4 linked regions of the Medicago truncatula genome follow. The main gene of each other region encodes a partner of the protein of the gene in region 3 in a complex. Links are inferred from orthologs where the notes say so. Each region holds a gene or a part of one and is shown on either strand. Other genes may lie near its edges. The genes, in order: probable chlorophyll(ide) b reductase NYC1, chloroplastic; 7-hydroxymethyl chlorophyll a reductase, chloroplastic; pheophytinase, chloroplastic; chlorophyll(ide) b reductase NOL, chloroplastic.

What was found.
Region 1: pheophytinase, chloroplastic (region 3) and probable chlorophyll(ide) b reductase NYC1, chloroplastic share a complex: the UniProt entries of both Arabidopsis thaliana proteins name them as parts of the SGR1-CCE-LHCII complex. The link is inferred for Medicago truncatula from reciprocal best matches to the Arabidopsis thaliana genes PPH and NYC1.
Region 2: pheophytinase, chloroplastic (region 3) and 7-hydroxymethyl chlorophyll a reductase, chloroplastic share a complex: the UniProt entries of both Arabidopsis thaliana proteins name them as parts of the SGR1-CCE-LHCII complex. The link is inferred for Medicago truncatula from reciprocal best matches to the Arabidopsis thaliana genes PPH and HCAR.
Region 4: pheophytinase, chloroplastic (region 3) and chlorophyll(ide) b reductase NOL, chloroplastic share a complex: the UniProt entries of both Arabidopsis thaliana proteins name them as parts of the SGR1-CCE-LHCII complex. The link is inferred for Medicago truncatula from reciprocal best matches to the Arabidopsis thaliana genes PPH and NOL.

Annotation. Positions count from the first base shown.
Region 1 is NC_053047.1:40,284,802-40,292,588, reverse strand, and holds the start of probable chlorophyll(ide) b reductase NYC1, chloroplastic, read right to left. Parts: upstream 3,023-7,787; 5' UTR 2,876-3,022; coding exon 2,528-2,875; intron 1,907-2,527; coding exon 1,828-1,906; intron 1,671-1,827; coding exon 1,535-1,670; intron 1,425-1,534; coding exon 1,350-1,424; intron 1,249-1,349; coding exon 1,053-1,248; intron 680-1,052; coding exon 611-679; intron 519-610; coding exon 379-518; intron 1-378. UniProt on the Arabidopsis thaliana protein: Involved in chlorophyll b degradation. Belongs to the chlorophyll catabolic enzymes (CCEs).
Region 2 is NC_053042.1:17,899,650-17,906,553, forward strand, and holds the start of 7-hydroxymethyl chlorophyll a reductase, chloroplastic, read right to left. Parts: upstream 3,009-6,904; coding exon 2,948-3,008; intron 2,697-2,947; coding exon 2,527-2,696; intron 1,533-2,526; coding exon 1,421-1,532; intron 180-1,420; coding exon 95-179; intron 1-94. UniProt on the Arabidopsis thaliana protein: Probable iron-sulfur flavoprotein that converts 7-hydroxymethyl chlorophyll a to chlorophyll a using ferredoxin as a reducing equivalent. Catalyzes the reduction of a hydroxymethyl group to a methyl group. Belongs to the chlorophyll catabolic enzymes (CCEs).
Region 3 is NC_053044.1:11,853,793-11,861,098, forward strand, and holds the start of pheophytinase, chloroplastic, read right to left. Parts: upstream 3,020-7,306; 5' UTR 2,858-3,019; intron 2,636-2,857; 5' UTR 2,619-2,635; coding exon 1,884-2,618; intron 1,298-1,883; coding exon 1,071-1,297; intron 831-1,070; coding exon 639-830; intron 559-638; coding exon 402-558; intron 1-401. UniProt on the Arabidopsis thaliana protein: Alpha/beta hydrolase dephytylating specifically the Mg-free chlorophyll pigment (pheophytin), yielding pheophorbide. No activity on chlorophyll. Belongs to the chlorophyll catabolic enzymes (CCEs).
Region 4 is NC_053049.1:16,823,059-16,830,548, reverse strand, and holds the start of chlorophyll(ide) b reductase NOL, chloroplastic, read left to right. Parts: upstream 1-4,467; coding exon 4,468-4,711; intron 4,712-5,681; coding exon 5,682-5,750; intron 5,751-6,386; coding exon 6,387-6,448; intron 6,449-6,544; coding exon 6,545-6,631; intron 6,632-7,190; coding exon 7,191-7,258; intron 7,259-7,335; coding exon 7,336-7,384; intron 7,385-7,463; coding exon 7,464-7,490. Other genes in the region: DExH-box ATP-dependent RNA helicase DExH3, read left to right, coding at 28-180, 281-391, 515-988. UniProt on the Arabidopsis thaliana protein: Required for chlorophyll b degradation. Chlorophyll b, chlorophyllide b, pheophorbide b and pheophytin b can be used as substrates. Belongs to the chlorophyll catabolic enzymes (CCEs).

The sequences.
Region 1 (7,787 bases), on a different chromosome or scaffold from region 3:
AGAATGTCTCACTTACTTGTATTTTCATTAACTTAAATTTGTGTTCATTTTAAATTGCTAACAACGTGGTAGAAGACTGATGTAGTGAATATATGTGATAGAGAGAAGATAGAAGGATAGTTAGGGAGAATGCATTTTGAGAAACAGCAAAAACAATTTTTGGCATCTTCAAAATTTCTTAAAAAATGTTGAATCTGTTTTTAACAACTGTAAAAGGAAATGGTGAGAAGAGTATTGAATCTATATTCTATCATGTTTATTAGTTGAAGTAAAAATGAAAACAGGAATCATGAAAAAGTAAACAAGCCCTTAAATCGCAAAAGCTCAGTGGAATTAACATCCCAAGATAAGAAACAACAATATCAAGAGAATACTCACACGGCTGTCAGAGGTGTGCTAGAGCCTCCAGAACCTGCACCGTCCATATTAAATATGTGGCCTGGCTTGGTTTGGTTTCTCATAATACGCATGGCTTCTCGGGTACAAAGGATAGAACCAACCAAATTTGTCGAGACAATCTACAGAAATAAACCAACTTTTCAAGCTAAGGATGAAGATGAACAGCCTTTATATTCTAACAAAATAAAAAAGAAATTATGTAGCAACATACCTGTTTGATATCTTCATCGCTGAATTGAAGCAATGGTCTAAAACCTTTATTTGTTCCAGCATTGTTTATCTGTTGAGTAGTTTGAATAAAAATACAATACGAAAAATTAGATTAGGACCAAAAAGCAGAAACCACACTCAGCAAGAAATAAGGAATCCAATATAAAACTTTCATTGAAGTGATAACAAAATCGATAGTAGGGTTCATTAGCTCAATGATGCTCAATCTATGAAACACTGACACAGACACCGAGCAAGATACTAATACTGACACGCTGACACTTGTAAAAATATTATTTAAGAAAATGAAAGTGATTGAATGTAACCACGTGTGTCAGTATCTTGTTGGCGTCTAATGCCGACACGTGTCAAGTGTCAAAGACACATTCAATCTCAAGTGTCAGAGCTACATAGTTCTCAACAGAAAGAACAGCCACACTTACCCAAATGTCAATATAACCAAGTTCGCTGACAGCAAAGTTTGCCAATCTCTGAACATCATTAGCCTCACAAACATCACAAGCAATGCCTACAACTTTTGCTTGAGAAAGCTTTGTCAAAGATGAACCAACTGCATTGGCAATGCCTTCCTTTAGATTTTCCTCAAGCTCTTTGACAGTTGCTTGCACAGACTCAGGGCTGCCTTCACAAAATTCGAGAGCGGGAGCAAAAACACGTTGTGAGCAACAAAATATATTAATTTGATCTCTATAAAATGTTCTCATAGTTTGTGATACCACCTTCGTGAAGTAACAATCACACGATCTCCCGAAAGAAGAAACTCCCGCGCCAAAGCTTTCCCCAATCCCCTCGTACTGCACACAAATAAAGCAATGTCAGCATTAATTTTTTTTAAACATGCATCCAAATAAAGCTAAAAATGTTGGAAATCAATTTCTAGAATACTATCAGTGAGTGAACGTACCTTCCAGTTATGACAACATTACGCGGACCTTCGCGACAATAATCCTCCAACACCCAGTTAGCACCTATCATTGTCCCAATGATAACTCCTCCAAGCCAACTATACCATATCAGTGCATCCATCTGACTATCTCCACCTTCACAAAATTTCCAAAAAATCAACATCATATATGATATGAGGTATGATTGAACGTTAGTGTAAAACTTGTTTACACTATAGTTGGAAACTCGACTATAAGTGCAAATATTTTCAATACACATTCTAAAATAGGAAAGTAGAATATATATACCAACCTGACATCTGAAATCCAATTGCAAGGATGACACCAGTGCTCATCATGGTCACAATATATCTCCCAATCTGAACAGCAATCTTGTTTTCACAAATACAAGAACACGGTTATATTCAACATTCAAAATACAATACAACACAAAATTGAAAGTAAAAATTAAGTGGAAATAACACAACACAGCAAGAGCCTTTTTGGATTTGCTTATTTGAGCTTATCTACTAGAATAAGCACTTGTGACACCAAGTACTTGTGAGACTGTTTGGTTGGAATAATTTATGAAAACAACTTCTGTTTTCAGCTTATTTTTAACTTATTTCTGTAAGCTATTTTCAACTTATTTCCTGCAACTCTCCGAGATAATTTAAGAAAACAACTTATGGATAAGCACTTATTTTATCTTTTGTAATAGAAATAAGCTATACATAAGTTTCCAAACTCTCCAAGATAACATATGAAAACAAGTTATAGATAAACACTTAATTTTATCTTTTGTTATAGAAATAGCGTATCCATAAGCACTTATATGCTAAAACCACTCAATTAAGTTGGTAATCCAAACAGAATCAAGAATGATAGAACCTCATCAACCCTAACAAACAACTAGTACATAAATACATATATGATAAGTGCTTATGCTATATGAAACAATTAATTATCCAAACAGATTAAAAAATGATAAAACATCAAAAACAAGAACTCACCTTAGATAGAACTTCATCAACCCTAACAACAGCTTGTCTATACTCATCATCCAACTTAGAACCCATCATAAAATTTCCCAACAAAACATTTCTAAAATTACTCCAAAACCCATTTTCCCTTTGAACTTTCACTTCATTTTTCTTCAAATTTCTCAACTTTTTCTCCTTCACATCACCACCATCTTCACTCTTGAAAGCCCTACACTTTTTCAAACACAACCCACCAAAATTTTGTCCAAAACCAAACACCCCAGATGAAGAATTTGAGCTACCAAATCCATTTCTAAGCTTATGCTTATTCAAATTACACTCTGGAAAAACTTGAAGCTTAACAATTGTAGTAGCCATGTTTAAGATAAAAAGTTCATAAAAATGTTACAATATTATTGGTACATAAATGTGTTGAATTCATGTAACATGTTTGGTTTATTTATTGTTGTGATTTTGGTGAGAATTGATAACTATGTTTTTGTAATTTTGTGTGTTGCGAAAATATCTAACTGAGTAACACCGATTCATTGGAAAAATGTAACATAATAGTAACGTAAGAAGGAACATTATGGAATGTGATGACCACACGTTAAGAAACCTCATCATTATCGGTTATGGACACGTGGCATTGTGGGTCTTTAGACACGTCACTTTTTTCTTTTGTTAGTGTGAGGTGAAAAATGAACACTTTTTCTTTTGGATTTTTCTTAGACTTAGATAGATTATTATTGAAAGTAAATTATTGTTTTTTCATGTTAATCGTTCGCTTCTACGAAGAGAGTTCAATAATCTCTATGAGCTTAGTTCAATTATTAGAATGTGTGAACTTATTTTTCCATATTTAAAATGTGTGAGCTTCAACCTTATTTCTCCACGTTTAAAATGTGCGAGCTTCAACCACAAAATTATTTGATAAAAAGAAAGTCTAGGGTGCGTTTGATTTGATAAAAAATGAAGGACATGACAAAACAACTCCAATTGTCCAGTGTTTGATTTGTAAAACAGTTTCAGGGACATGACAAACTGGAGGCAAGGGACATGACAAAAGCTGCAATTTTTGTCCATCGCCAAACCACAGCACAACCTTTTGTCTCACGTACAAGTTTTCTAAAATACAAAAATAACATTTCGTCACCCAAAAATCAAATAATACAGAAAATTATTCAATACCATAAAAATTTGTATTGTGCTGTTCTGCCTTATATTGTGTTGTCCTATCTTGTACTGTTATGTCCAATACTTACTGTTCTACAAATCAAACACACCCTAATAGTCTAAAATTCAATCGATAGATAAATAAAATTTGATTAAAAAATTATTCCAGTTAAAAATATAATTTGAATTCTTTCGAACGATTTATCATAACTCATTTAATTCAAAATAAATTATTTTAGATTAAGAAAAGAAAAGATATAAAGTTAGGCAATTAATTTTATTAAGGGTTAGGGAATACATGTATGTCATATTTTAAGCACTTTTATATTTTATTTTTTAAATCATGGCCAACTATTGAAGTTAGTTGATTAGTTTTGTTTTTTATTGACAAAAAAGTTAGTTAAAGTTGTCTTAGTTTAGAGAAAAGAGAAGGATATAAGTTAGGCCTTTGAAATTTTAAGGTTAAGGAAATGCATGGATGTTATTTTTTAAGCATTTTTAATACATGGCCAATTATTGAAGTTTGTTTGTTTTCTTCTTTTTTGGCAAAAAAGTTAGTTAAACGATAAAGTTAGGGGAAGAAATGCATGTTAATGAATATATAATCTAGCTTTTTCGTTCGTTGGGGAAGAATTCATAATCTAGCACAAATGTAGTCTGATGGTTTTCTTTTACAATGAAATTTGTAGCAAGTTTTCATCGATGTTTATTAGTGATTAATCTCCGTTAAAGAATGTATGGGGTAAATAAATTGGGTTTTACTCTCTTAATCGGATTTTTTTCATACATACATAAAGAATTAAACCTTTGACTATATATTTTAAGATTTACGTGAGATATTTATTTGTTCCAACTTGGGAGCCAGGGAGATAGAGTTAGTTCAAACAATCAACTTGCGTGAGATATTTGTTCCAACATTTTGTATCTATTTTAGTTGAAAAAAACAAATTGTGTATGTAAATAGCTTGGCTTAGATTTGGGTTCAAATCTACTTTTTATTTTACGGTCAAATTTAGAGTTTTCTGCAATAAAATAAATATCTAGGGGGTGTTTGTTTCCTGGTTTAAAAAATTATTCCCAGGAATATGGAGGTTGGAATTATAGATTCCTATGTTTGTTACAAAGTTAAAAAAATAACTCCCGAAAATAAAGAATTCCTAGGAAAAAAATAACTTCCACTTACCCATGATTTTACTCCCAAAGAAAGTGGGCGGGAATAAAAGATTCCCATGTAAATGGTACTAAAATGGAAATAACTACCCATATACCCACTATCACAAACAATTCCCATGAATCTGACAATTATTTACCAAACACAATTTTCTAAAAATACTCAGGAATAAGATGCCCATTATTATTTCCCAGGAAAGGTTAATCCCAGGAATGAAATTTTAAACCGTCAAACAAACGCCCCCCTAGGGTTTTCTAGTATATTTCAAAAGCAAAAGTAGTTTCTCGTCTGTAGGATAAAGTAAATTTCATCTTAAATTTTTTTAACGACACATTAGTTTTTTTTTTTTTAAGGAAAAAAAAAAAACTAATATTAGTTGTTCTATCAATTTCTTTTTTTGAGGGAATATTATCAATTTCTTGTCATTCCCTAAAAAAAAAATTCCTGTCATGTGGTTGACCACGTATATTTAAAATGAATTGAGATATTTTGGTCCCTAAAAATATATTTGGGGACAATTTGGTCACCATATTTTTAAATCCCTTCAAATCACATAGTTTATTTTAAAATTTCTAACTTTAAAAAAATAACATCTTCTTGCTGCTTCTTTCTAGTTTTTACTAGTTGGATTGTGTTTTAGATTTTCTACATGTTTCGTTGGTTGTATTTTGGTGTTACCATAATATTTTGGATTTTGAAGTTGCATTTATTTGACCATTGTGTGTTAGACTTGCGGGTGCTATTGAGTTTGATAATGTTATGCACTTTGAATTTGATGGTAATGATGGATAGGGATTATGATGGTTTTTTTTCCCTCCAGATAAAGTGATTTTACGCACATCAAAGGATGATTCTGGATTCGAATTCGGATAGCCACGAAAAACGTTAGGTCTAACGATATCGGTATTTCCATTTGACATTGGCCTTACAAACAATGTTTGTTTTGTTCCATTTAAATGCAAATATTACTATCATCTATTATAATTAAAAATAAGAAAATCTCATTTTAGTCTCACATATAAATATGAGAAGCTCGTTTTAGTCCTTCTCAAAATAAGAAAAACATTTTTGTCCCTCAAAAGTAAATAAGCTGATAAATTAAGTTTTCATCAAGTTTAGGGACAAAAAGCATGAACAAACTGTGGTTTAATTAGCAGCAAGTTAGGGGAAGATGGAACAATAAACCAATTCATAATAACTAATATAATTTAGACACTAAATATTATTAAAGTTAAGGAAATGTATGGATGTCAATATTTAAGGATTTCTTATTTTAAATCATTGAAGTTAGTCAAAACAATTAAGTTAGGGGGAAGAAAAACATGCAATGAGTCCATAATAGTCTAGCTGTAACTTGGGTGTGTGGGCTATGAAGTTAGTTCAAATGAGTTGGTTGAGATATATACTTGTTCCAACATTTTGTATGCATTAGCTTAGATTTGGTTTCAAATCATGAGTGTTATATATATATATATATATAGAGACGACATATAATATTTTTGGTTACGAGAGAAGACATATACTATGAGAACGAGTATCTTAAATGAGAATGATGAGAATAATTGTCAATCATTGAATAAAAAATAGATGGTTGAGATTACAAAGCCTCATTTTAAATCTCTACATTATTAGAATGTAATTTTTCATTTGTAACATCTCAACTTTGACCAATAGATAAGAGTTTTAAGAAGTTTCTCTTTATCTTTTCTATATTTCATACGTTTCATAATATGATATCAGAGCAAATTTAATTTCCTCAATTTTCATTTTCTCTCTTTTAAATTTTCCTTTTCTCAATTTATTTTTTTAATAATCATTTTTCCTTCGTTTTCTCTTACTTTCTCACCGTTTCTGGTTCATTTTCAATTTCTTAATTTTTTCCTATCGATTTCGTTCTAGATTCGTATTCATCATAGAGAGTTGTCCTCTTAGCCATGACTTTGTATCCTTAAGGTACAAACTTAAATATTGTATGTACCATGCCTAGTAGTGGCAATCTTGTAAAAGTTTGCTGAGCCTCAAAACACTAGGAATAATCTGCAAAAACTCTATACATCGGTCCTCATGTGTGTGAGATGATGGAGTAGATTGGTCTAAGTCATGATCATTGTTGGGTAACTCATCATGGTTGGCTAACCGGATAAATGATGAGTGTGAAAACCACTTTGAAAAGGGTGACTGTACTAGCCAATAAGGTTGATGGTGAACCAAGATAAATTTGATGTGTCGTGTATCTCTCTCTATATATATATTGTTTGTCTTTTTTCTTAGGTCAAATTATTTATGGTTTAACTTCATCATGTCTCTATTGTTTTGACACAAAATTAAGTGTTAATAAAGAACTATTGCATTTAACCTTCTGTCGACAAGCTACCTCAGGGGTAATGATTTTTTGGGGTTAGTGGTAATGGTTTATAAGTAAAAAAGTTTTGACTTGTTCAAAAAAAAAGTAAAAAAGTTTAGAAACCCATAAACATAACTCAACCCCCACATTCTTGTGTTATGCACCCACCTTCAGCGTATGTGCGGCTTGGAAGATTTCTATATAACCCTAGTTTATAAAACTAGGGATCCAAATTTTGACGGCTCTGAAGCTTAAGGTGAGATCCAACAACCCTAAGGTGGCACTTTTTTAGGGCTTGGAAACAAGTTGGAACATCTACACCATTGTTGATGTGTTTATCTTTTACCTTTTGAATTATGTTGCTCGTTACTGTTATCATGTGTATTTAAACTCTAATAGATTTTGAATGACTGATCTATGGGTCCTTTTTTAATATGATTCAAGATATGTTTATGTGATATATATATATATATATATATATATATATATATATATATATATATATATATATATGTTGTTCTTAATGCTTTTCAAGTTCTGATCAATTTTGAATTGATTTTAGGTTATATCTCACTATTAACATTAGGTTTTGTAAGTGT
Region 2 (6,904 bases), on a different chromosome or scaffold from region 3:
CAAAGTTAATTACACAGAAAATAAAGTCAGATTAAAGAACGAAAAGACACTAGAAATATGACTCCAATAAAAACATGTAGATTTTTTATGATACCTTTGTACACAGATAACAGCTTCAACCATGCCTGATTTAAGCATTTCAATTGCAATGGTTGTTACTATACCAGTCCATTGAGCTCCTATGAACAGAACGAATTTTACAAGTAAAACTGTTCATCAGAACTTTGATAACATGACTATGCCCATCATAGACATAATTGTATAAATAATTTAATCAAGAAATTAGTTGCAACTGCAGGACATTTCGAAACACAATTTCATTGTACAAGACAAGTAATTCTTAAAGAGCTGTGCTATTGTGCACGACAAAATCCACACACGACAGGTACGACTGTTTACATGGCATCATCATCTTGGTTTAAATTAAATTTTGATTAAAATAATTTTAAAAAACTGAAATAGCTGTTGGCAGAATACACGTCGTGTGCATTTGACAACAACCATGTGTCGTGCTATATAATGTTTTCCAATCTTAAATTACAGTTAAGCTTCTGGTCTGTCCAAAAGCTCAATGAGGGCCTCTTTGCATTGATTAATTTAAGCTTAACTACTAGAATACAAACTTGCGAAACTGCTAAGAACTTATAGAAACAGTTTATGAAGTATCCATAAGCTATAAGTTGTTTCTATAACCTCTCCATGATAGCATATGAAAACAACTTATAGCTTATATGAAATCAGCTTGACTTTATTTTATCGTTTTGTTATAGAAAAAGCTTATACATAACTTATATTATAAGCGCTTAATTATGTTGTTTATCCAAACTAGGCGTTAGACATTGACATTGAAGCCTTACTCCAAACTAAATACTAAAGGAAACAGAAATAGTTATATCAATGAAACATTTCGGTGTGATCTTAATTTCTATGATCCTAAATAAATTTAGGAGGCCATCAAAGTATGCTAGGAACAAACTGGTCTTGCAACAAAAAATGGGGAACAATTTCCTGGTTTATAGAATAGTGGCAGAGCTTTGAGGGTTTTCCCACCTTTCAATGTCAAAAGGCCCGTATTCTTTCAAATGACAAGCTGATCTGTCCTCCCTATTTAGTATTTATAGTCAGCCTAACTATTCAATTATCTAAATACCCACAAAGGGATTACCTACCAATGTCACATATCAGAGAAACCATTGAAAAAATGCTTCTTAAAAGGTAAAGAATAGCCAAGAGGTCCCACTAAAAAAGCAGAACAGAATAATTTTAAATGCTTATTTATCAGCATAACAAAATTATAGTTTGAACTCTAAAACTTGAGCGCAATAAATACACTGCACTCAAAGATTCTCGAATTTGATAGTGTCATACTCATTAGAACGAGGAAGCATAAGAGTTAAACAATTTTAAAGTCAGAATATACCTTCGACAGGGTTAAGTTTCCGAGCATACAGAAGTTCCTCAAAGACACCTAAGTATGTCTCGTCTAAGGTATCAGTTTTTCTCCCTCTACCATGAACAACAGGTTCCAATTTCTGAAACAGAAAAGGAATGATAAAGAGTCCAATCAATTTTGGTTTGTATAAACTTTGTCATTTTCTGGATATATTTATATCAGTTATGAAAATTCTCATGATTAATGCTTATAAGAATATTAAGGCAATGCTTGAATTAGGCATACAATAAATGAAGTTTAATTTAATGCTGAAGTCACAAAGAAATAACTGCTGCATATTGAAATTTCAATTTGATATAATTCCTTATCAGCTTTGTGCAACAAAGTGTACTAACATTAACATAGTCCTGACAAGTAATCATTCAATAGAAGTGAACCATTTTTGTTGAAAAAGTAAATCTAGTTCAAATGCCAGATTCTTCTACACTAGAATGGCTGCTTATTGATTATTTCCACTAGGTGCAAACTAATTGATTTGATATTAATGTGGCTAAGCAACACAGCTTTGTTCCCAAAAATCATCACTTTGTTAGTAACTTTGTGAAATAAGCGAACATAAAACTCAAGTCGGAGAAGAAAAGGGTTCCTCTCCTTTTCTCTTTCAGTTTCAAGTCCTACTATGTTTTACACTTGGCCTAACTCATCATTACAACACTGGCCTCTTCATGCCCAGTACTATTGGACCTAATGCTTGGATAACTTTTTTTTTTTTTTGAAGTAACTAAACTAGCCCACCCAAATTGGCACCGAAGATAATCGAAACTGGGACCTTAACGAGGAGCATACTCCAAGGTCTCACGTTAACACCATCAGACCAACCCAAGTCGATATCGGATGACCCAAATGAATAGCTCTGCTACCATATTATTTTTTTTATATTAAGACTAACTCAGCCTTACAAAATCAACTTGATCCCTACATCTGACATAATGCTAACAATTACAAACAATATTAAAAAGTCCTTTCATATCACATAAAAGTTTCAAAAACAAAAAACAAATTTTTTTAACCAATTTGAAGAGTAAAATTTACATGACATAGATAAGCATCATTCATAAATTAAAGAGACTTACTTCAATTTTAGACATTCCATCTCCCAAGAAAGCACAAGCATTCTTAACATGAGCAATATAATATGTATCACACAATCCACAACGACTGCATTGATCTTTAGCTGGGTAGGTTCCACCTGGTGGGATAGGTTTTGACCTTTTCCTCCAGTCCTGTTTTGAAATGGAGGATTCTGCTACCAAAACAAGAAGGGTAAGACTGATATGAGAAAAGAGAAGTGAAGGAAGGTTGCATGCACACTATGAAGCACGGACGTTCGTCAAATTAGGCATGTCCCTGATACGGACACGCTTACACATATAATTACATTGAATTATGTGATTTTATCAAATTATTATCGGTGTCCGTGTGTAAGTCTCATGTGTCCGTAAGAGTGCTTCATAGCATGCAGAGAAAAAGAAGAGCTGGTAGGTAGTACTTTACCTTGTGATGAAGAAGAAGCACGAATAGAGAGAGAAAGAGGTAGCGAAGAGAGAGAAGACATTGCTTAGCAGTAAACTCAGTTCAGCTGAGTGAGTGAGTGAACACTGATGATGATGTGGCTTTTTCTGTTCCACACAACAAAGTTAAGAAGAAGAGGATTTCTAATGTAATAAAATTCAAAAAAGGCACAATAACATTTTGGTCTTTTAACAAAATTTTAGATAATAATTTAATTATTTATTTATTTTATTTTATTATTTCCTTTTTGATTTATTTTCATATGGATTTCATGTTTAAAATTTATGGTTTCATTTTTTTATGTTCTCTCAATCTTTAAATCTATGGTTTTTCATTTCCGTTATATATGAATTTTTGTTTTGAATAAGCCAAAATGAAATATATTAACTTATCAAAGGTGATTCATCTTGCACAAAATGTGCAAAAGAGAACACCCAACAAAACAAAGTTTGGTACAGTCTTAACTCAAAAGGTACAGCGTAATAAATAGACAAAAAGCTACACCAGCACACCCCATGCATAATAAGGATGTTGTCCCCAGTCATTATAACTGAAGGCGAAGCTGGGCATATTTGCCTTAAGCCAATTAAAAGACATAATCTTGACCCTTTCTGATAAACGATCCGAAGTCAATGACTTTTGCTGAAAAATCTTGTTATTTCTTTCCTTCCATATAACCCAAACACAAGCATGCCAGATTACTGTTAGAAAAGAATTAGCAGACCTCGACAAACCTGCCAACTGTCCAAAGTGCTGAAAGTGGTCACCAACTGTAGCTGGAGCAATAAAAGAAATGCCTACCCACCGATAAACATAGTGCCACACTGAACCGAAGACGTCACAATGAAGAATGAGATGAGCCGCAGTCTCAGAACAACCGCCCCCCCCAATGCAAGAGGTGTCATCCTGATGAGTAATTCCCCTACGAAGAAGGTTATATATTTACAATTTGAAAATATATGTGCAAATTAAGTTAAGAGAACGAAAATATAATTTGATCAACTGAAAAATAAATCAATAGTTTTAATTTTAATTTTTAATACCATACGAAAATTTTAATCAAACAATTAAACTCAAGTGGTTAATGAACTTGCTTAAAAAAAGTGGTTAATCGACTCTACAAAAAGACAATTTGTTCCAAAGAACATAAGTTTGATTCCTAGATGAAATAATAATCGACCAAACTTAAATTACTCTCGAACGCACTTCAAATTACTAGACAACTTTTACTAGAAAATCGAAGGTTAACAAAAAGAAAAAATATACCATACAAAAAATTTCTTTTCCGCACAAAGTGTTAGAGTTTGATCATGTGTACTAATTTCCTTTGTCTTTAATTACTCCAACAATCCGTAATTATAAGCTCTCTTTGAAAAAAGTCTTGTCTAAATATAAGGCTTATACAAATTATTAGATGCATTTATTATTTTTTCCTAAATATATCCCTAATTAATACAACTAAATTGCATTGGAATATAAAAAGGAAAATTAAATACACATAAACAAAGGACAATTTAGTAAAATTCACACACAAATTTGATATATTATCTACACTACCTACTTTTCTTAATATGTGAAATTAGTCAAAGAGACTTATAATAAGAGACGAAAGGAATATAAAACTAACTACTACTCCATCTCAAACTAAGTATTAGATTTTGATCATTTAAAATATGGGTCTTGTTAACGAGTTATTTACTTTGATCATTTTTATTTACTAATATACAAAGAACAATGGTGCTCCCTTTATCTTGAAATAATTGTTACAATTTTAATTTTTATATATGTCAATGCATAATTTTGACCATTAATATCTTAAATAATTTATTAGCAAAAATCATTAAAATTTATATTTTAAAAATCTTTACTATGAGAATAAAACAATATTTTATTTATTAACATTATTCTTTATATATTAATAATAAATATGATCAAAGTAAGTTACGTAAGTAGTGTACATGGTCAAACTGCAACAATTATTTTCAACGGAAGTAGTGTGTAAAATGAAAAAAAAAAAAAAAAAATTGAAGAAAAATTATGTTCTATTTATCTTAATGACTGATATAAAAATATATAAAAAAAATTATATAATTTTGCTAATAAATAATATATAAATTCAAGATTAAAATTGTACATGAACATGGTTAAAAGTAAAACTGTAACAATAATATTCTTTAAGGATTTGCTTTTATTTTAAGAAAATGAAACTATTTTCAACAAAGTGAATATTTTTCTTTTTGAAACAACAACGTTTAACAATCAAGTCTCTGCAGAAGAAAAACATGAACTAAAACTACAAAACAAGAAGTCTTATATAGATGGAACATCGAGGAAAAAAAAAAAAAACCATAACACCAAACTCAGTGCTACCACCAACACCAATAAGAAAAATAACCACCAAAAATCAAAGTCAACACTTAAGTCAAATCAAGACCCCACACTTCCTCGCGAATGACAACATAAACAAAATTCAAGCATATATTGTCCACTACTCACCATAACGCTTCAAACAAGCCATCCAACCAATCAAAACCCTCGAAAACAGAACATCATCTTCTCATCTCCACAATTGAGCTCGATTAAACACCAAAGAAAAGGCTTACTCCAACAATCCTTCAGGTTCTACCTACATTCGACCTCCGGTCCGTCAGAGAACACACCATAACAAGGCAAAAAAATTGAGTCAAAAAATTGATTATGAATCTTGAATCAAAAGCGATTGACCCACCATATACTATAGACAAATCACTAAGGCACCCCCACAACTCCCATCCTACCGGAGAAGACTCTATAATCAACCTAAATAATTGGACATAGACACTAACTCTCAATCCTGAAGCAAGAACAATCGACCCACCAAAACCTAGGAAATAATCCTTCGAACAATCTTCAAATAGAGTGGTAACCTAAACAGAACCAGATCGAAAAAAGGCTTAGCTTGAAAACTTCCCCAAAACAAGGACAACTTAAAATCAAGTCATAAACCAATCGAAAATCCAAAACCGACACAAGTTAGCAGTAACAAAGATGTTAAGGATATTTTTTTAGAAAATTATCGATTTTATAACATTAAATAAGTTCATTAATATTAGTTTCTTTTTATAAAAATTATCATATTAAAGACTATGGGGTATGCTAATTTATCCCCGCATATAAAGATCATTTACAATTTTTTAGATATGATTGTTATTCTTTATTATTTTTTTTACTAAAGTTGTTATTCTTTTTTCAATATATTTTTTATTGTCTTCAAATACGAAATCAACATTAAATTTATCTTAGCTTCCTCCATTGTAGAGTGAGGTATATTCTTTTCAAGTATTTAAGTGTGCCTGTCGGGGCATATCCTAGTAAAGAATGGACATTTGAACCTGATGTTAAGCTTATTGCTAAGAGTGTACGTTCATGGAGTGATAGGTTTGTTAATTTGGGTGGGAGGGTGGTCTTAATTAACTTTATGCTTCATTCAATTGAAATCTTCTACCTCTCGTTAATTAAGATCCATGTCAAGGAATGGAAGAGGAAAGTTTGGCTAGAGAGATGCTTCGTTTAGGGAGGGTAGAACAGGGGGCACTGGGATATCTTGGGTTTGCTTCGAGGATGTGTGTCGGCCTAAGTCGAAAGGGGGATGGTCTTGGGATTTGAGATCAGAGGCTGGTTCACCAAGATATGATGGGGAAGTGGTGTCGGAGACTCCTCTATGGAGATGCAATCATATGGAGAGATATCATTTGTGCTACGAATGATGTTATTCATATCTCGACTACTTATGGAGAGAGGGGGTTGCATGTTGTCAGCTCCCTCCCACGGTGGAAATGAGTATCGCTTTGAAGAAGTGAGTCGATGCTACTCGAATTGGTTCACTTAATGAATGGTAAAGATTTTGTATGATAGTCGAACGTATTCCTCTTGGGATAAAGTTTATGTGGGGGGATATTC
Region 3 (7,306 bases):
ACAACTATGAAGCACGGACACTAGTCACGACATGGACACTGACATTGCTAATAATTTGAGAAAATCACATAATTCAGTGTAATTATGTGTCGGTGTCAGACACAACACGTGTCCGGCATCGGAACACGCCTAATCCGAGGAGTGTCTGTGCTTCATAGACTCAATAGCAGGTGGCCCAACAGATCTTGCATAAACTCTTTTATGATCTAAGAATTACAGCTGAGCTTAACCGCTTAACATAACCCTACAGAATTAGCTTGTAAGATGAGGGATGCCTCCAACTTACAAATTCATTTTCAGGCCTAACTCGTATCCAATGTGCGGCTCTTAACATATATTGCACTTAAAAAGAAGCAAGAACAGAAAGAATTGTTCAAGTTAATAGGTCAGGAATTGCATACCTCAGGGACTTCATCATGAGGGCAGTGACCAGCAGGGCTGATTTGATAATATGGTGCTTCAGGAACCTTCCTTTTAACCTGAAGTCCCCATATAGGTGTCACCCAAGGATCTTCTTTTCCATACATGAGGCAAATCGGCACCTTGTTCGCTCGACATCTAAAACATACACACCGCAAAAACCATTAACATGTGTATCACGTATATCTAATACTAGTTAAAGATTTAGTCGTGTCTACCTTGATAATGTTTCGCTGAAGGATAATTCCCCTTGGGGGGCAAACATAATTGAAGCAAATGAGGCTGCCGCAGCAGGATGTCTTGTGGTTTCGATTATGCGTGAAAAAACGTTATCCACATTTATTGAATGATCTGCGTAAACCTGATTAAGTACATCGGCAATACTTTTCGGATCACTAATTTTCTCCCACCTAAAGGAAACAAATTAATAAGAATCAGGTAAAATGTAATAGATATGATAAAGGGCACCTGGAGGTGTACTATCAGCAGTATAATATCACTCAGATGATCAACTATTATATTCGCAAATGAATGACTATATTGGCGACATACAAGAAATGTACTAATCAGAAGTTCGCAGCTAAAATACTAAATCATATCAGGAACTAAGAAAAAAACGAAGCAATAAATAAAAATGAAGCCATACTTACACCAACTCTGTAAGTTTCTTTATATTTGAAGGTAGAGGGAATGTTCCGGCCCATGGAAATACTTTGGCAAGTCCAGGAGATTTTACTGGATTTGGCAGAAACCCCCAAAAAGGTGTTGCATTAAGCAATGTCACGCCTTTCACTAAATGAGGATAGCATGCAGCAAAATATAAAGCAACGTATCCTCCTAGTGAGTTGCCTACAATATAGACCGGTTCACCGATGACCTGAAACGAATTTGTATAATAACATTTAGATTATAGTGATATAAAAACTTCCTCAAATATTATTTTTGAAGATAGTGCAGAAAAGTTCAGCAACATTACATATTTGAGTAAGCATTATAAGTATAGGAAGCATTAAAGTGCTGATGATTACAGACAACATTATTTATGGAATACAAGAGTACTTCTACATCGATTTACCTAACCTCGTTTGGATAAACAACTTAACTAAGCGTTTATAGCATAGATTCAAACTGTATTCATATAAGCTATAAGCTGTTTCATAAGCTATCCTAGAGAGCTTAGGGAAATAGGCTGAAAACAGTTTATAGATATGTCATAAGTTGTTTTTATAAATTCTGCCAAACAGTCTCTCAAGTGCTTATGCTAGTAGATAATCTCAAATAAGTCAATTCAAACAGAATTTTCTTTTTTAGACAATAATCCAGCATAAGTTGTTAGAAAAAAAATCTAAAACCACATAGGAACAAGCAAATTTGCCAAGAACATTTTCCAGTATACTATTTGAGCAAACAATGGATTAAAATAACTAAATATTTGCTGCTACCAAACAGTGCAAGTCATTTACCTCTTCAATGAAGTACCGAACTTGATCTTGCCATAAATCAACCGAATACACAAGCTCATTCGCCCATGGTTCAGTTTCATCTCCAAAACCCCAAGGCGAAACATTTCCACTCGATGTAACCCCTCCTTCCTTAGACGAAGGAGCAGGATCTTCAAAAGGCAAAGACATTCCTTGTCCTAAAAAATCCAGCGCCCAAACTCGAAAATCACGACCTAAATCCATCAACTGCTTCTCATAATGAAAAGAACCAACACCGAAACCCGGCAAAAATAGAACATTTGGAGAATCCAAATTTTCACAACCAGCTTTCTCATAATGAACATTCAATTTAGGTTTCCATCCCTTAAAACAACTACGTATAACCGCACCGGATTCACCGTTTGATTCATCCGGTAAACCAGGAATCAAAACCTTTGAAGCAGGTACATCAACCCCTACAATATCTCTTCCTTCACCTTCATTAATCACATAATCACCATAACTTCCACTATTAACCTTAAATTTGAGTCTTTTAGAGCCTTCAAAAACACTTTGTGACCTAAACCCACTTTGTTGATTACCCTTATCATAAAATCTCAATGACCCAATTGTGTAAAGATTATTGATATAAAAACCTCCATTTTTTCTAATATAAAAAACCCTTGATTGAGTTGAATTCGAACTATTTTTAACTGATTTTGTCTTTGTGTTCATAACTTGACAACATGGTGCAGAACCATATGAAAGAGTTTCCATTTCTTAGCAACTATGTTCTACAGAAACCAACAACAGAAAATGATTCAGTATGCTAAAAATTCAACTTGATTTTCACAAAAACATGAACAAAGTAATATGAATTTTTTTAGAACAAATCAAATATTATATGTGTTTCATACACAAATAATTGAAACTAGAAAAATTAGTTCTTCAAACATCAATTAAACATGAACATGTGATAATTAATAAAAACATGAACATGTTTATGGAAACATTACCTTAAATTTAGTGAAAGAAGAAGCATGAGAATCTAGAACTACTCAAAGAATCTGGTATATATTAGTTGTTATAGGATTAAGAGCAGATCCAAAGAGAGATATACAATAGTTTAGAGTTGCTTGGAAGATTCTACTTCCTCTATGAGCCAAGAAAAACCGAATAATATATTTTTATGAGTTTAATTTATACACACTTACACACTTTTTTTTTGGTATTTATAAAATTTTGTTTAATAAATGCATCTGATAAATATAATTTATTTTCAATTTATTAAAAAATAATAATTTATTTTCTTTTCATTTTAATAATAATTATAAAAAAAGTCAAATAGTTTATTAAACTAAAAAAGACTTACTATAATATTAGATGACTTATACAAAATTTATTTTAAAAGTCTATTAAATTTTAAATTAAATTTAAGAAAAAATTTATCTAAAAACAGTTAGATGAGATGATAATATTTCTCTTTTAATTTAATCAAAGTTCATAAATTTAATAAAATTTTTCATTTATTACAACTTATTTAATTCGAATGATTAATCTCTATAGTTATGCGTATAAGATATATCCAATTTAATTTTTTATTATTTTTATATAAATATTGAATCTAAAATTATATAGTGGAGCGATGATTAAGTATTCCTTGTATTCGTTAAATGAAGAGATTAAATTAACTACGACTTTTTTTAATATAAAGTTAACCATGTTTTTTTTGGAGCTGATTATATATAATATATATTATATATAACTATGCTGATGGAGTTGGATGAAGAAATTAAGTTAAAATGAGGAACTTTGTTAATTTAGTTAAGAAGAAATCCTGAAACCTAATATTTTAAATTAGTTGATTAAGAAATTAGTTTAAAAAGAAAATAAATTAAACTAGCTTCCATGTTCGAATATTAAGTCTTCTATTAGGTAAATATAATTGTCTTGCAAACTGAGAAAACATGTGATAAGTTTGGTTTTGTCTTCTACAGAGGAATCATCCCCACAACGCACGCAGTTTGGACAAAATTAGACAGAGCCAAAGTTCTACCCACCACCAATATTTCATATTGGCCACACATTAGTTTTGATTTATAGTACACACGTGTCCAACATGGTAGGAATTCAAGTGTATGATTGATAGAATGCTACCGATGTTAGAATCACTATGATCCACCACGATTTTTCATAAGGTAAAAAGTGTAGTTTTTGGAAAATAATGATGGATCATTGTAATTCTGATATATTTATCGATCATTGTGATTTTGACATACTCCATCTATTCCAAAGTATAAGTAAAAATTGGTCAATAAAAATTAGGCTTAATTACCTTTTTAGTCCTCTAACTATTTAATTGGTATCGGATTGATCCTCTAACTAAAAAATAATTTATTTCGATCCTTTAAGTTTCTCATCGTTACTACATTTAGTCCTTTTTGATAGTTTTATTCAAATAAACGTTAGAGTTTCTGTTATGTGTGTCCTCTAACTTTATTTATTAGTATCATTTTGGTCCTATGCCTTGTTAAGGTATTATGATTAAATAGTGACTGATATTATTGGTAACTGTTATGGTTCATATGTATGTGTGAAATAGGAGGTCAAGTGCCCACATAGCATAAACCCTAACGTTTATTTGAATAAAACTAACAAAAAGGACTAAATTTAGTAACGGTGAGAAACTTAAAGGACCGAAATAAATCATTTTTTAGTTAGAGGACCAATCTGATACCAATTAAATAGTTAGAGGACCAAAAAGGTAATTACGCCTATATAATTAATGTATTTGATCCAAAATTTGTATCAAATACATCAACATATGTTAATTCATTTTTGCTTATATTTTGAGACGACAATAAATAGGTTTTTCAAAATAACATAGCTTACAACACACATTTTTGAACGCATCCAATCAAATTTATATGGGACATACAAAATTTAGTAAGATCTAGGTAGTAAATTTTAGACTTAATTGCGGATTGGATTCTCATATTTTCACCATTTTGGAGAATTGATCCTCCTATTTTAAAATTTGACAATTTTGATACACCCATCAATTATTTGGTCTAATATATCGTGACATAACATGTTTAAAATGATATTTTTAAGGAATTTTTTTAAAACTTAATTGATGTTGATTTTCATCACTAGATCATATATCACGACAAATCCACTTGGGTTAGTCTGATGATATTGATTTGTAACCTTAGAGTGTGTTCTTTCTCATGGTCACAACTTCGATTCTCTCTGGTATTTTTTATTTATTTTTCGACAAATTCTCTCTGGTGTTAATTTGAGTGAGCTAATTATCTTCTTTAAACAAAATCATATGCCAAAATTATGAGTTTTTTAAATATGGAGAACAATTCTGCAAAATAGTAAATATAGATGGACTAAAATTGTAATTATAAAAAATGAAAGTGTTTGAAAATGTATGTCAAAGAATATATTTTTTAAATCCTAACTGTGTTTTTGCAAAAGTTCACTCTTCATTTTTTTTTTTAGCTCGGTATCGTGCCCGTACGCGGGTTCGTTGGGCTGCGTCCGTGACTAGTAAATTTTTGTAAGAATAGATTAGGACTGGTCCTCTCGGTACGGTTTATTACGATGTATTCCTGTATAGATTGTACTTGGGTCAGGTCTCATGCCCCCCAATCTTTGTATCTTTCTTTTTGTTTAATATAATTTTTATTTTGCCTAAAAAAAAAAGGTATGTCAAAGAATGTGATGTTAGTACTCATTTTTTCCAAAACAGCAAGTAAAAATTCAAGAGTTTTTACGGTGAAAGCTTTGATAATCTGTAGTTCAGATGTAGTTCAAATGCTCAACAATACGTGTATTGTAAAGTGCGTATCAAAGTGTATAGACAATTTATTGTAAAGTGTATTGTAAAAGTACGTGTTAAAATATGTCTAGTTAAGATGCTCAACAATTTATTCTTAACAGAAGTCGATTTATCACTTAAGCCTGTTTGTTTTGGCTTTTCAGCATCAAGAAGTGATTCTACAATTATCAAAAGTGAAAAATTGAGTTTTCAATGGTGTTTGGTTTGGCTTTTAAGAATGATGTAGGATTTTTACATCTCATAAAACTATTTACACATAAGTATAATAGGATCGTTATAACACCCCGTTTTCCCAACATAAAATTTCCATTTAAATAATCAGAGTATTCATCATAAACGGAATGTCACACTTCTTTTCTTAAAACATAATTGGAATAATTAACTAATTTTCCTTCAAAGTTCAATCAACATAATATTCAAATCATAATCATCATCATATAACAATATAAGTCATCACATCATAAACTTCATCTTATAACAACATAAACAACACATCATAAACTTCATCTTATAACAACATAATCAACATCATAATCATCATCATAAGCACTTCGTTAACGACACATGGGTAAATAGCAACTTAACAACAACGACACAACTTCAACTTAACAATGCAACTTAGACTTCTTATTCATCTTAGACCATCTCAAAAAAATGCAACTACAACCTCTTAATCATGCATGTGGTACCAACCATGGCATCAAACCCCCAACATATTGAGCATAAATACACTCCCATGGCATCAAGCCCTAAACTTAAAGAGCAAAAGCTCACATGGCATCAAGCCCTCAACGTATTGAGCATAAATACACTCTCATGGCATCAAGCCCTCAACTTAAAGAGCAAAAGTTCACAGAGCATCAAGCCTTCAACGTAAATGAGTATGCATGGACTCAACAACTAATGCAACAACAACCAACAACTTCAACGACATCGTCAACAACTTACAACTTTAACGACATTGACAACAACTTACAACTTTAACGACATTGACAACAACTTACAACTTTAACAACTTGACCAACATATGCAACTTAATGATTTAATAATCAATACAGCAGAAACATCAACATACTACAACTTCACAACATAACATCATTAATAATAACAACTTGAATGGTATAACAACATTATTTTCTATATCATACATTTTCCACATAAATATATGTAACTCAAATTATTCAACAACAACATTCACATAATATATGTATTTCAAATTATCCAACAAAGATATTCACGTCAAACCAAATTATATCTATCACAACATAGGTTAAATACTCTTAAACACCCTAGTTGAACTCATAGTACTTCTAGTTTTGAGGTTTGGAATTATTCCTTAAGTTTTGGATTAACTTAGACCTCCTTGGAGTATTTTCATCATATCTCAAGAGCCAAAAATCATTTTCACATCAAACCAAAGCCACTGGAAAGCTAACTCAATTATCTACAACTTTCATGTTTACACCAAAGGCCAATTCAAAACAGAAACGTGTGAAAAAGACGCAAACACATGAAACAGGACGTGCTGTCAGAGAGCAACTCGGGAAAAACTCACTTTTCACCCCCAAAATCTCAATTTTAACTTCCCTATGCCCAAATTTGATCCAAAAACTTG
Region 4 (7,490 bases), on a different chromosome or scaffold from region 3:
GATTTTTTTTTTTATGATTTTATCCAGAATTCAGTGAATGCAAGGTACCAGACTATTCCCTACCCATGGTTGGTTTTTGGGGAGAAAGTAAAGGTCAATGCTGTTTTCATCCGCGATTCCACTGGTGTGTCTGATTCAATACTTATCCTATTTGGTGGTGCTTTAAGTAATGGGATACAGGTGATTTCTTTGTATATATTTTTCTTCCATTAGAAAGATAAGGATCCAAATATTTCAGTACAATAACTTGCCCTTGTTTTTTCCTCCCTGATGGGTTTAGGCCGGGCATCTGAAAATGTTAGATGGATATGTTGACTTCTTTCTGGATCCTAATTTAGCTGACTGCTATTTGAAGCTTAAGGACGAACTTGATAAGCTTATCCAAAAGAAGGTTTGCATATTTTTGTTGTTGTAATTGTATTCCTTCTTTCTTCTTCAAAAAAAAAATTGTATTCCTTCTTTACTTGTCAATACAAAACAATGCTGAATGATAATGGATTTTATAATAATGCAGCTAGAAGATCCAGGCATTGACATTCACAAGGAAGGGAAGTATTTGATGCTTGCTGTTCAAGAATTGGTTTCAGGGGATCAGTGTGAAGGAAGATTTGTGTTTGGTCGTGACAGCCGGAAGCCTAAGGCCTCTAACGACGAGAATAAATTCACTAAAGATGGAACAAACCCCAAGAGCTTGCTGCAAACACTTTTGATGCGAGCAGGGCACTCCGCACCAAAATATAAAACAAAACATCTGAAGACAAATGAGTTCAGGGCATTGGTAGAGTTTAAAGGAATGCAATTTGTTGGCAAACCGAAAAGGAATAAGCAACTTGCAGAAAGGGATGCAGCTATAGAGGCATTAGCTTGGTTAACTCACACCTCTGACAATGCTCAGCCTGAAGACGATAAATCTCCTCCTGATGTCACTGACAACATGTTAAAACTCCTAGGGAAGCGTAGAAAATCATCGAAACGACGTTCTGATTGAATTATTATCAATTGATCGTTTTTTAGGTTAGTTTACCCATTCTGGTGTCCTACATGAGTTTCTCCTAGGCATTATTTAGTGGCTCCTGATTTCGTTATTCTCATTTTCTCCCTTTTTTGAATTTGAAAGGGCATCCAGTTTTGGCATTTGGTTTGCACTTGAAAGGTTGATTGAATGAATATCTTAGTCGTCTCCTTCAAGCCAAATCCAAAATATTTTGTAACCATTATGTACACTAATGTTTATATTTTTTATTTATATATGGTAGGTACAGTTTTGGCAGTTACTTATATAATTTGTACCGGGTCATCATCTTATAGATGCAATAAGTCGTCTCCCTTTTTTGTTTAATATTGCTAGATGAGATATGTAACATCTGTTTTGTACTGGGTAATATTGAGTCAAGAAAACAAAGACATAAAATGATGAAATAACCTCTAAAAAAATGATAAAAGAAATTGAAAAAAAAAATGTTGGTTCAATTTTTAGTGAACTCTCCAATTGTTTCGAATGCGACCAGACCTCACAATAGTTTTGTGCTATGCTGCTCTGATAAGTCAGCTAGCATGAACCAAGGTAACTTGTGCTTCGACATCAAAGAATGCTGTAACTCTACGGTCCGATGACATCAAAGCATGCAAAATTTTTTAGAGAAACTAAAAGTTGAAGGAAAATTTTAGAGGGATTAAAACGAAAAGTTAATATATTTATAGGGACCAAAAACATATTTAACCCTTAATCTTATTCTTTCAAATAATATAACCTATGTGGGCCATTTAATAATTATAAACAAACAAAAATTGTACATAAGCGTATCAATTGACAACTGCTTTCCCAATTCCATTTCGCATGGCATCGTTTAATTGATTTCTTGTCTTTACATTGCACATTGAATTGAAGTAGCAGAGGAGGGATTAAATTACATCAAAATAATATTACATCAAAATCGTTTTACTTGATTCATATTTGTCAATACATTTATGCACAATTTGGTAAAATAAAATACATAAGTTGATTTAAAAATATGGTGAGGAGGGGGGCCGGCTGAAGGAGGGGGTAGATTTGGTTCGCCTTGGTGGCGGATGCTTTGTAATATCCGCGGGGGGGGTTGGAGAGGGTGCAGGAAATTGGTTTGAAGGTAATGTCCGTCGGGTTGTGGGAGATGGTTCTACTACCTTATTTTGGTTTGATAAATGGGTTGGAGAAATGCCTTTGCGATTTAAATTTCCTCGACTTTTTGACTTGGCTGTAAATAAGGAGTGTATGGTGGCGGAGATGGAGAGGGAGGGGTGGGAGGTGGATGGTCGGGCGTGGTTGTGGAGACGTCGTCTGTTTGCTTGGGAGGAGGAGTGTGTGCGGGAGTGCTCCATATTATTACATAACGTTGTTTTGCAGGTTAATGTTACCGATAAATGGTGTTGGGCACTTGATACTACTCATGGTTACACTGTACGAGAGGCGTATCGATTTGTTGCTAATAATGGTCATCAGGTGGATAGGAGCTTCGTTGACAATGTGTGGCATAAGTCTATTCCGACAAAGGTTTCGTTGTTTGTTTGGAGTTTGCTTCGTAATCGACTTCCGACTCGTGACAATCTTTTACGACGAAATATTCTTCATCCGGCAGCGGTCTCTTGCACGGCTGGTTGTGACGTGACGGAAACAGCGCGCCACCTTGAGTTACATGATCATCACAAGCATTTCTGTTTCATGGCGGGACTTCCTAGATGCACTCATGTTTTTATGCAAGGAATTTGGTATTCTTGCGCTTGGGTTATTTGGCAGAATCGGAACAAATGCATTTTTCAAAACGAGCCTTTCGATTCTCACGGTTTACTAGACAATGTTAAGCGTTATTCATTTTTTTGGATGAAAGCAAATTTTAAATACTGTAGTTTTAACTGGTATGATTGGTGGACTCACCCGCTTCTTTGTATGGGGGTCCTTTATTGAATTATTGTGATTTGTGGTAGGGTGGTGCCTGTGTTTGGGCATTTTGTACTTGTAAATATTTTTCGAAATTCCACTTTTTGCACGCCTTGTGCGGGGTGTTATAGCCGGTGTTATTAATATATATCATTTTAGCTTGTGCTAAAAAAAAAAAAATATGGACCAAAAGTTGTGATTGTAAATTTCATAGAGACTCAAATGAAAAGTGTATATTTATAGTGACAAAAAAATAAATTTAACACTATATGTAATTAGAGTAAAGTAGGGGAATTCAAAATCACAAATCTATCGAAAAAGATCGAAAACAACACAAAACTGCCAAATTTGAATTTGTATCGAACCAAACCGAATCACATACATAAATATCAATACTTATTTTTCAATTACAATAATATATCGCTTTAATCTATTATTTGTTGTTTTCTTTGAGTAAAAACTTAGAAGTTAACTATTATTATTTTACTATTTCAAACATTAACTATTATTATCATTCATAATTGTTATTTTTTTAGTATAGTATAAGTTATTTTTTGCATCAAACCATTGATTTTATCATAAATTTAAAATATTATTTTCAATAGATGTTTTCACGAAATTGTAATTTGAATATTCAAAATCCAATCAAAATTATTCCGCATAAAATTGGGTTGGATCGGAGTTTTTAAGAAGTCATCCAAGCCGAACCGCATTACGACTATTTAAATTATTTGAATCGAACGAATTTTTGGTCCATAACTGATTCAAACCGCACTACAAACACCCCTAGATAATAATATTTGTATCATTTTTTTTTCTTTTTGATGGTTAAATTTAGGTTAGGTCCCTCCATGTTTCTTTGTATTTTCTGTATTATTTTATATTATTTAACCCTAGTTTAAATAAAGGTAAATTCTTATTTACAAATGAACAAAACTGAGTGGAGATGACACATATGAATTATTATCAATTGACTCCAATCAAAATAATTAATTTGTCTTTCACTATTATGTTATACATCCTTAAAAAAAATAAAAAATAAAACTATTATGTTATCCAGTAAAACATTGAAGACAAATAAATAATTTTCATTGGTGTCAACTTAGATGAATAATCATATCCTCCTTTATTAATATAATTGTCATCTTAAAAGGTATAATCGAAAAGAAAATCAAACTATCATTATACATAAACAAAGAAAATGTTAACAAATGTTTTTTGATAAAAAAGTTTAAACTAACTTTTTTTTATGATTTATACATTCAAAACATAAAAACTAACTTTTTGTAAAAAATAACTTTTAAAACGTCATAAATAATACTTATTATTCTTTTTTTTATCAAGTAGTCTAGTGGCTAAATGAATAAGTAGGATGTCCGGAGTTCGAACACCGACCCCTGCACATATTGTGCATTATCCCTTAACAAATGAGTTAGCTGATGGGGACTAAACAATACTTATTAATAATCAAAATTTGAATGATTTTATCCGCAAAAATAAAAAGAGTAAATAGAAGAAAATTGGAAGTGTTGAGGCTGTAGCAGTGAATTGGCATGGCATCATCAATGGCTTCCTTTCAATTGCTTTCTTCTCATCAGCTTTGCATCTCTCCCTTCTCTCGTCTGCCTAAATTCAACACGACATTTACTTCCTGCACCCCCAACAGCAACAATAATAACCGCTTCTCTCTTTCTCTCACTAAACCAACTTCTTCATCCTTTCTCATCATAACAGCTTCTTCTAACGACAATACCATGCTTCCTCCTTATAACGTTTTGATTACTGGCTCAACCAAAGGTCTTTTCTTTTTGGATAATTTAAATTTATTTGTATTTATTCTTTGATGGTTGAATGAAAGTGTTAGTATTCAGTGAGTGGTAAAATCTTGATATGTACATGGTTATATCCTATTCAGATGTAAAATAGTTGAGATAAGATTAGAAATGGCAATATTAGATTAAGAGTTCAGGTAACAATTTAAGTCTGTTTTGGATTGTTTTATTTTTTAGCTTATGCAAAACAATTTTTGCAAATAAATAAGCTTGTATGTATTATTCATAAGTTTGTCTAAGGTAGTTCATGAAAAAACAGCTTATGAAGATACAATTTTCGTTAGTGATAACTTATGAATCAATATAAAAGTTTATTTATTTGCATAAGCTATTTTGAATAAGCTCAAAATTAAGTCAATCCAAACAGAAACTTAGTGTATGTTTGGTTCTACTTCTAAAGAGGCCAAATTTGATTTTAAGTTGTAGAATTGATTCAGACATGATTGGATGCTATCGAGTAGAATTGATTTTGCCTTCAGAGTTGATTGTATTTGAAGCTAGAATTTGTAGTTTTTAATTTTAGAATTGATTTTTAAACACAAATTTATTGTTCAAATCACTTTTACATGAATGTATTCAAACACAAATCATTTTACCTTCAACTCACTTTTAGTCTGAATCAATTCTTGTCACCGTAGAACCAAACATACACTAGAGAGAAAACCTGTAGATCTTGTAGTAAGGAGAGTATATTAGATGAAGGGTAGTGAAATCACTAGATGCACGGGAAAACTTAGAAAAACTATAAGAGAAACGATTAAGAAGGATATAAAGATTAATGAGTTGGACTGAAATATAGTTTATAGTTTGATCCATGTAGCCGACCCAATTTAGTGGGATTAGGCTTCGTTGTTGTTGTAACTTGTAAGTTTTGCTTGCACTTTAGTTGCTCATTTTCAACAATTACCTTGAATCATATTTACCTTATGATTTAGGGATAGGGTATGCTTTGGCGAAAGAGTTTCTAAAAGCAGGAGATAACGTTTTAGTTTGCTCAAGATCAGGTGTGGATAACTTCTTGGATTTTCATTATGTTTCAACTATGCATTTGTTTATTTGTTCATGCTATATACTTCAATATCACTTCAAGTTATATGTATATCACTCTGCTATCGATTCATCAATGATTGATCTTTCTGTTAATCTTTCCCTTGGTTCCTTTGGATAAATTATCAATTTAGTTCCTAAACTATCCAAATATAATAAATAGTTCGTAAAGTATATAGAATCCGTCAATTTCGTCTTTGATCGTAAGATATTTGGTGCTAAATTCACAGTTTCCCGTTTCCATATACTTTAGGAAGTAAACTTACGAATTTTATATTCTATATGAACTACCTTTTTTTTCATAGTTTAGGGACTAAATTGAATGCTGGTTTTATTTTCTTTCTATTTAAGTTATGGGTTTTAGGAAAAAAAGGGAGAAGAATGAAAACAAATATGATTTCGGTGTAATACGATTGATAATGATTTGATACTAACTTGGTATAAAAATATAAGCACCAATCACTTTTGTGTTATTGTTTGTCTCAATTTACCTTGTGAATTATGACTGAGTGGTTGGGATTTCACAGTCTTGTTTATCTCATTTCCATGACTTTGTTTTTGTTTTCTCTATATACCTTGGTATTCATTTATAGATGAAAGGGTAGAGACTGCAGTCAAGAGCTTGAGAGAAGAATTTGGGGAGCAGCATGTGTGGGTACCTCCTCTTGAACTTCTATCTTAGTAGAAACCCATCTACGATAAATATATCACTCGTTTTTATGTTCTCATGTTCGCATTTTGTTTCTTGCAGGGCACTACATGTGATGTGAAAAATGGAGAGGATGTGAAGAAACTAGTTTCGTTTGCTAAAGAAAAACTGAAATACATTGATATATGGGTACTAATGTCTGATTTCTTTTTCCCATTGAAATTTTTATTTTGCAATATGAGTAGAAACTTTTTGCGAGGATTTAATTGGTTCTCATTGATAAACTCATGGTTTGATTGATCTACTATGTAAGCTGACGATCTTAGCGAAATTCTGGCCATCTTATTTTCGTAGTTAGATTCACAATCATCATCACTTACACTTAGCATCAGCGATTTTCCTTCCTTCTCCCCTTTCCCTTCAATTCTTACACTGTTTATAATTTGAAATTGTCTCGTAGCTATATCATTGTTGTCAATTATGGCCATGGTGGATCGTGGTGGAGGGTTTTTTGATAACAGCCATGGCCAATTTGTTACAGATTGCTGCACCATGGCGTTTTATGGTGAATATGGTCGCTTAGAGTGATGAATTTTTGGCTTTCCACCATTATCCACCATCCGCATTTGATAACACAAAGCTATACCAATATTTCATTTGTTTTAACTCCCTAATCTTATTGAATGTGTTTGTTAAAATATACTTTACTAATTCTTTTCTTTCTCGGCCTATGCTGAGAATGGTGTAGATCAATAATGCTGGATCAAATGCGTATAGCTACAAGCCACTTGCCGAAGCATCAGATGAGGATCTTATGTGAGTCACTAGACCTTGCACCCTAAATATCATTCTTACATTTTATTTCTTTGAAATTCTTAATTCTGTGCATGCAGTGAGGTGGTTACAACAAACACACTTGGCTTGATGATATGCTGTCGAGAGGTAAAATATATTCTCATGTAAGAGGCACTGTAAATAAAGTAGGTGCTCTGTTATGCATGGATGTTTAGTTTCTATTTAGGCAATAAAGATGATGGTGGGCCAACCT